2 linked regions of the Canis lupus familiaris genome follow. The protein of the gene in region 1 interacts with the protein of each later gene in a pairwise test. Links are inferred from orthologs where the notes say so. Each region holds a gene or a part of one and is shown on either strand. Other genes may lie near its edges.

The links.
Region 2: the proteins of RAD54B (region 1) and RIBC2 interact in a two-hybrid assay, tested with the Homo sapiens proteins (2 studies listed by BioGRID and IntAct). The two-hybrid records come from large-scale screens. The link is inferred for Canis lupus familiaris from reciprocal best matches to the Homo sapiens genes RAD54B and RIBC2.

Annotation. Positions count from the first base shown.
Region 1 is NC_049250.1:39,849,281-39,853,021, forward strand, and holds the start of RAD54B (DNA repair and recombination protein RAD54B), read right to left. Parts: upstream 2,183-3,741; 5' UTR 2,049-2,182; intron 368-2,048; exon of another isoform or gene 311-367; intron 1-310. UniProt on the Homo sapiens protein: Involved in DNA repair and mitotic recombination. May play an active role in recombination processes in concert with other members of the RAD52 epistasis group.
Region 2 is NC_049231.1:21,585,130-21,588,870, forward strand, and holds the start of RIBC2 (RIB43A-like with coiled-coils protein 2), read right to left. Parts: upstream 2,373-3,741; 5' UTR 2,181-2,372; coding exon 2,067-2,180; intron 784-2,066; coding exon 702-783; intron 1-701. Other genes in the region: SMC1B (structural maintenance of chromosomes protein 1B), read left to right, coding at 2,521-2,629. UniProt on the Homo sapiens protein: Microtubule inner protein (MIP) part of the dynein-decorated doublet microtubules (DMTs) in cilia axoneme, which is required for motile cilia beating.

The DNA of each region.
Region 1 (3,741 bases):
GCAGCGGGCCCCGCCGGGACCCCGGGACCCCCGTGGCTCCTGACCGCGCCGCCCACGGTGCCCACGCACGGGGGGGGGGGGGGGGGGGCCCCGACCCTGCCAGCCCCGCGGGCCAACTCGGGAGGCCCCGGCAAACAGCCCAGCACCGGGCGGGCCCCACAGGGAGGCCCCGCAGGGAGACCCCCGGCCCGCGGTCGCCCCTCCCTGGGGCCTGCGCACCGCCAAGACCCTGCTGCCACCCGACCCCCCCGACCCCGACACCCTCACTCTTCAGCCCCGGCCCCAGCTCGCCCCCGACCCCCCCCCCCACCCGATGCTCCTGGCACCGGACCGCACACTCCAACTCCGGCCCCGACACTGCCTTGACCCCCACCGGCCGCGCCCCGCCTCCAGACCCCGACCCCGTCCCCATCCTCCGACGCCGCAACCCCCCCCCCCCCCCCCCCCCCCCCCCCCGCCCCGTGCACTTTAGCTCTGATCCGGACCCCGACCCCCATCCCTCCCGAACCCAACCCTGCCCGCCTCGCATTCCGCTCCGACCCCCACTCCGACTCCCACCGCCCGCACACATGAGCTCCGCCCCGACCGACCCGCCCGCCCCACACTTTAGCTCCACCCCCGACCCCGACCCCGACCCCCCCCCACCTCCGCAGACTTCAGCTCCGCCCCACCCTCCCCCTTAGCTCCATCCCGACCCCGCCCCCGCATCTTATATCCGCCCCAACCCGCATCCGCATTTAGCTCCTCCCCCACTCGGCCCCCGCCCTATTCAGCTCCGTCCCCCCGCCCCTGCCCCATCCCTCCCGCCCCCGCCCCCTTTAGCTCCGCCCCCACTCAGCCCCTCACTCTAGCCCGCCCCCACCCTCCCCTCATACTCTAGCCCCGCCCCCCTCTCCCCCTCACATTCTAGCTCCGCCCCCCTCTCCCCCTCACACTCTAGCCCCGCCCCCACTCGGCCCCTCACTCTAGCCCCGCCCCCACTCTCCCCCTCACACTCTAGCTCCGCCCCCTCTCCCCCTCACATTCTAGCTCCGCCCCCCTCTCCCCCCTCACTCTAGCTCCGCCCCCTCTCCCCCTCACACTCTAGCTCCGCCCCCACTCGGCCCCTCACTTTAGCTCCGCCCCTCTCCCCCTCACACTCTAGCTCCGCCCCCACCCGCCCCTCACTTTAGCTCCGCCCCCACTCGGCCCCTCACTCTAGTTCCGCCCCCTCTCCCCCTCACACTCTAGCTCCGCCCCCCTCACTCTAGCTCCGCCCCCACTCTCCCCTCACACTCTAGCTCCGCCCCCACTCGGCCCCTCACTCTAGCTCCGCCCCCACCCGCCCTCACTCTAGCTCCGCCCCCACTCTCCCCTCACACTCTAGCTCCGCCCCCACTCGGCCCCTCACTCTAGCTCCGCCCCCACCCGCCCTCACTCTAGCTCCGCCCCCACTCTCCCCTCACACTCTAGCTCCGCCCCCACTCGGCCCCTCACTCTAGCTCCGCCCCCACCCGCCCTCACTCTAGCTCCGCCCCCACTCGGCCCTTCACACTTAGCTCCGCCCTCTCTCCCCCTCACTCTAGCTCCGCCCTCACCCTCCCCTCACACTCTAGCCCCGCCCCCTCTCCCCCTCACACTCTAGCTCCGCCCCCACTCGGCCCCTCACTCTAGCCCCGCCCCCACTCTCCCCCTCACACTCTAGCTCCGCCCCCTCTCCCCCTCACATTCTAGCTCCGCCCTCTCTCCCCCTCACTCTAGCTCCGCCCTCACCCTCCCCTCACACTCTAGCTCCGCCCCCTCTCCCCCTCACACTCTAGCTCCGCCCCCACTCGGCCCCTCACTCTAGCTCCGCCCCCTCCCCCTCACACTCTAGCTCCGCCCCCACTCGGCCCCGCCCCTTCCCTTTCGGCTCCGTCCCCCGTCGCTCCGCACCCCTCCCCTCCCCTCCCCCCGCCGCTCCGCCGCCTTCCTTCCCTCCGCCCCCGCAGGCCCCCTTCGGCGCCCCTCCCCACGCCGTCCCGCACAGGCCGCCGCAGCCCCCCAAGCCGCCCCCTCCGAGGACGTACGGGCGAAGATCCCACAGAAGCCGCGCGTCCCAGCAAGACAGCCGGCGCCCGAGGTCCCGTCACCTCCCGGAGGTTAAGGCTCCCGCCTCGGAGCAGCCTATAGCGGGCGAGCCGGCCGCGCACGCGCACTGCCCTCCACCGGCTCCGCTCGCACGACCTCGACTGCGCATGCGCGGGTCTCTGCGCGGCCCCGTAAGCGCCTGCGGTCCGGGTCCGAGGTGTGGTCCTGCTCCGAAATATCTACTTGGAAAAAATATTTCTTTCCTTGTTGATGGCCTCCTGTCACCCGCTGTAGGAGCTGAGGATACAGACCTCATCTTAGAGCAGATCACACAGCTTAAATCTGGAACGTCGACACAGGTGTGTTCGCTGCAGGTGGATGGTCTGTGCTTGGAGAAACGGTATGCAGACGTCCTTGCCCGCGCAGCTCCTAAATCGTGCAGCACGTTAGGAATGAAGTGACTTTAGCAGTGTTGCTAAAATAATACAGGCCCTTAAATTGCCTGGCACAAATCGGCAAACTAACAATGGCCTGATACCCTTTAATATAGTGACAAGGCAAGGAAATAGACAGGTCCTAGGCCTTTAATGCAAAAGTATCTCCAGGGGCACCTGGGTGGCTCAGTTGGTTAAGCCTCCTCTTGGTTTCAGCTCCTGGCATTGAGGCCTCTGAGTTCCAGGCTCACCCACTCATGCTTGCTCTGCCTCTCAAAGAAATAAAATCTATATTTTTTTAAAAGTATCTCCAAACCGGGATCCCTGGGTGGCGCAGCGGTTTGGCGCCTGCCTTTGGCCCAGGGCGTGATCCTGGAGACCCGGGATCAAATCCCACGTCGGGCTCCCGGTGCATGGAGTCTGCTTCTCCCTCTGCCTGTGTCTCTGCCTCTCTCTCTCTCTGTAACTATCATGAATAAATAAAAAAAAAAAAAAAGTATCTCCAAACCGTGTCACTGTATGATCTATCAGAATACTCCAGTTTAAACAAAACACTTAGAAATGCGTGAACAGGGGCATCTGGGTGGCTCAGTCGGTTGCACACTGGACTCTTGATGTCAGCTTAGGTCTTGATCTCAGGGTTATGAGGTCAAACCCCACATTGGGCATGTTGGGTGTGCAGCCTACTTAAAATAAGTGAATACAATTTTCATCATTCAGCATGATTTTCAAAAGCCGTTAGTTCTAGGGGTGCCTGGGTGGCTCAGATGGTTAAGCATCTCATTCATGATTACAGCTCAGGCCATGGTCTCAGGGTTGAGAGATCAAACCCCATGTTGAAGGCTAAGCACCAGGCTATTTTTAAGACTCTCTCCTCTCTCTACTTCTTCCCGATTATACTCTCTCTCAAAAACAAAAAAAGCCATTTACTCTAAAACAGATGTGAAAATTACAGAAGACTAAGTTTTACCAAACTGTACTAGAGAAGGTATCATTTTTAAGATTTTTTTATATTATTTTATTTTTAAGGAAATATGCACAGTGTGGGACTTGAACTCAGACCTTGGGATCAAGAATCACATGCTCTACCAACTGCTAGCCGTGTGCCCCTGTATCATTTTTTTACATACTAAATTGTTAAAATTTTTTGGTTTTTTATTTTAGCAAAATTAGTGTTTTAAATAAAGATGTTGAGTTGTATAACAGCAAACATTAGGGTTATTTTTGTACAATAAAGATAACGACAAACAGGAATGCC
Region 2 (3,741 bases), on another chromosome or scaffold:
TTTTAACATTTAGGGGCGCCTGGGTGACTCAGTGGTTGAGTGTCTGCCTCTTAATTTCAGCTCCGGTCATTATCTCTGGGTCATGAGATCAAGCCCCCAGTAGGGCTCCATACTGGGTGCAGAGTTGGATTGAGAGTTCCCCCTTCTGCTCCTCCCCCCACACTCACTCTTGCTCTCTCCTCCTCTCTCTCAAATGAATAAATCTTTTTTAAAAATATCCTTATGGTACTTAAAAAAAATAAGCTAGACTTGTTGTACCTGCTGTGGGAAAGTGAATTCTATTTGAGATTTTTATCTCAGAGCTACCACACTACCATATCTAGCTCTGAATCCACGCAGGAGTGTGAGCTGAGAGTGTGCACATGTCATCTAGTGCAAGCAGCTGTCCCCAGGAGAAGGTCTGGAACCTTGGGGCACAGAATGATGTGTGTGTAGGGTTTCTCATAATCAGTTTTTAAAGAAAACTGATGCAAATGTACATTTACCCTTAAAATATATTTCCTGCCACCTACATAGAATTCAATAGCTGTCTTCCTTTGAAGAGAGAAAGAATCAGCACGTTAATTGAATAAAATCAACGGTGAAATTTTAAAAGGAGGAGGAGTGTGAAAATGATGAGTTTTACATCTTTGAAGACATGAGAACTGGAGTCTAGAGGTACCCGGCCCTAAACTGCTAGATAGGCTCCAGCAAATTCTCACCAAAAGTTTCATGTCTAGCTTTTTCTGTTGCTTCTTTTATCTTCTGGTCTCGAACCTGAATATCCCAGGCTTCTGTGTCTCCCTGGAAATGGAAAACAAGGGGAGACCAGTTACAGCCAGATAGTTTTAGTCAGTTGATAACAATCCCACTTACCTTTTTAAAAGCCTTGTTCCACTGTTAACTAGTTGTCTTAGGTGCACATCAGGTCTTTTGATACCTGGATGCCTTTGCTTATAGTTGGTTCTTCCTCCTGTCCCCAGAGCTTCCTTCTCCCCTTCTCTTCGTTAATAGGTGTCCTCAGAACAGGCTTAGGCAACACCTCCTCTGGGCAGCCCTCTCTGATTTCCTCCCCCAGACCCAGTATGTTCTTCCCTGCCTCACAGCATTGATTCCACTGCATAGTAATGTGACCGTTTTAATGCCTGCCTCTCTTCTCCTTCCTGGGCCATGAACTCTGCAAGGTCAGGCAGGAATTGCCATGTTCCTCCTTTTGTGCCCCCCCCCAAAAAAACCTGCCACAAAACAAATAAATAGACTGGAAGGAGCCCCTGGCAAGTGTAGAAAATCTGGCTCAGGGAAAGGAGATGTGCTCAGGTCTCCGTTGAGCCAGTGGGTGCAGGCGAGCCCCCTCCCTGCTGCAGGACTCCATTTTCCTGCTGAGCAGGTAAGGGGATGCAGTATCTGGTGTGCCCTGCAGGTGAGAGGGTGCAGTGTCTGGTGTGCCCTGCAGGTGAAGGGGTGCAGTGTCTGGTGTGCCCTGCAGGTGAGGGGGTGCAGTGTCTGGTGTGCCCTGCAGGTGAGGGAGTGCAGTATCTGCTGTGCCCTGCAGGTGAGAGGGTGCAGCGTCTGGTGTGCTGAGGTGAGGGGATGCAGTATCTGGTGTGCCCTGCAGGTCAGAGGGTGCAGTATCTGGTGTGCCCCGCAGGTGAGAGGGTGCAGCGTCTGGTGTGCCCTGCAGGTGAGGGGATGCAGTATCTGGTGTGCCCTGCAGGTGAGAGGGTGCAGTGTCTGGTGTACCCCACAGGTGAGGAGGCGCAGCGTCTGGTGTGCCCTGCAGGTGAAGGGGTGCAGCGTCTGGTGTGCCCTGCAGGTGAAGGGGTGCAGTCTGGTGTGCCCTGCAGGTGAGAGAGTGCAGTATCTGGTGTGCCCTGCAGGTGAAGGGGCTCCCTCCCCCTCTCCCCCCGCCACGAGGTCAGCAGCCCATTCAAGGAACCCGTCTCCCCGGGAGAGCCGTCAGCCTTTGCAGCTGTGCCTGCATCCGCGGTTTCCCCGCCCGCGCGGTTCGCCTCCGCTCCCGCCGCCCGCAGCCCGCCGCCCTCGCCACCCCCCGCCCCGCACATGCCCTCCCTGCCCGCGGGCCTCACCCCCACGATCCGGTTCCTGGCGTTGAAGACCCGTTTCTGCCTGCACAGCTCGTTGTGCCTCCTTTTACCCAGAGCCAAGTCCTGCCCCAGGTCCCTGGGCTGCGCTAGCTCCATGACTGGAATCGCGAAGAAATTCTACGGGTTTTTTAAGGCCTGCGAGGTGCAAAGGGAAAAAGACAACGAAAATAAAAGTAGTTGTAGCCTAGGAGAGGCTGGTTCCGCTGCAACACGCGCCCCCTTCGCGAGCTTTTCAGTTCGGCTCTCCGCCACCTGGCGCAGGGCGCGGGGGCCGGTTTCCTGGGAGACGTAAACAACCTGGTTGCTTAGGAACGGCGCGGCGCCCGCTGGGGGTGGGGATGGCGCGCTCTCTCCTCTCGCGAGACGCCGCGAGGCCCTTCCCGCGCTTTTCCTGCGGGCGTGCGAGGAGGACGCGTGAGGCGCGGAGGGCGCAGCCATGGGCCGCCTGGAGGTGCTGCTTGTGGAGAACTTTAAGTCGTGGCGGGGCCACCAGGTCATCGGCCCCTTCAGGAGGTTCACCTGCATCATCGGCCCCAATGGCTCCGGTAACTGGGACCCTGAAGCCTCTGCCCGCCCCGCTCGTCCAGGCCGCATTTGGCCCAAGGGGACGGAGGGCGGCCTCGGGTGCGGGACTCGGGCGTTGGCCACCCGCGGGCCTCCGCCACCGCGCCGCCCCGGGACCCCGGACCGCGACCGCGACCCCGACCCCGGACCGCGACCCCGACCCCGAGCCCGGACCCCGACCGCGTGCCCCACCCCAGCGCCCGGGCCCGACTCCGGACCCGACCCTCTCCTCAGAACCCGGGACCCTCTCCTCAGGCCCCCGACCCTCTCCTCAGGACCCCGGACCCCGACCCTCTCCTCAGGACCCCGGACCCCGACCCTCTCCTCAGGATCCCAGACCCCGACCCTCTCCTCAGGACCCCGGACCCCGACCCTCTCCTCAGGACCCCGGACCCCGACCCTCTCCTCAGGATTCCAGACCCCGACCCTCTCCTCAGGACCCCGGACCCCGACCCTCTCCTCAGGATCCCGGACCCCGACCCTCTCCTCAGGACCCCGGACCCCGACCCTCTCCTCAGGACCCCGGACCCCGACCCTCTCCTCAGGACCCCGGACCCCGACCCTCTCCTCAGGACCCCGGACCCCGACCCTCTCCTCAGGATCCCGGACCCCGACCCTCTCCTCAGGACCCCGGACCCCGACCCTCTCCTCAGGACCCCGGACCCCGACCCTCTCCTCAGGATCCCGGACCCCGACCCTCTCCTCAGGACCCCGGACCCCGACCCTCTCCTCAGGATCCCGGACCCCGACCCTCTCCTCAGGACCCCGGACCCCGACCCTCTCCTCAGGACCCCGGACCCCGACCGCGTGCCTCACCCCCAGCTCCCGGCCCTCTGCTGTCCAGGACTCAGACCCCAATTCTCTTCTCGGGACCCTGACCCTCCAGGACTTGGACCCCAGACCTGACCCTCATGCTCTGCCCTCACCTCCCATCCTACGCGCCACCTGGACCACCGACCCCAGCCTTCTCCTCAGGACCCCAACCCTGTCCTCAGACCCCCGCCCTCCAGTGCCCAGACCCCAGACCCCAACCCTCTCCTCAGGACCCAGACTCCAACTCTCTCCTCAGGACTCCGGCCCTCCAGTGCTCGGA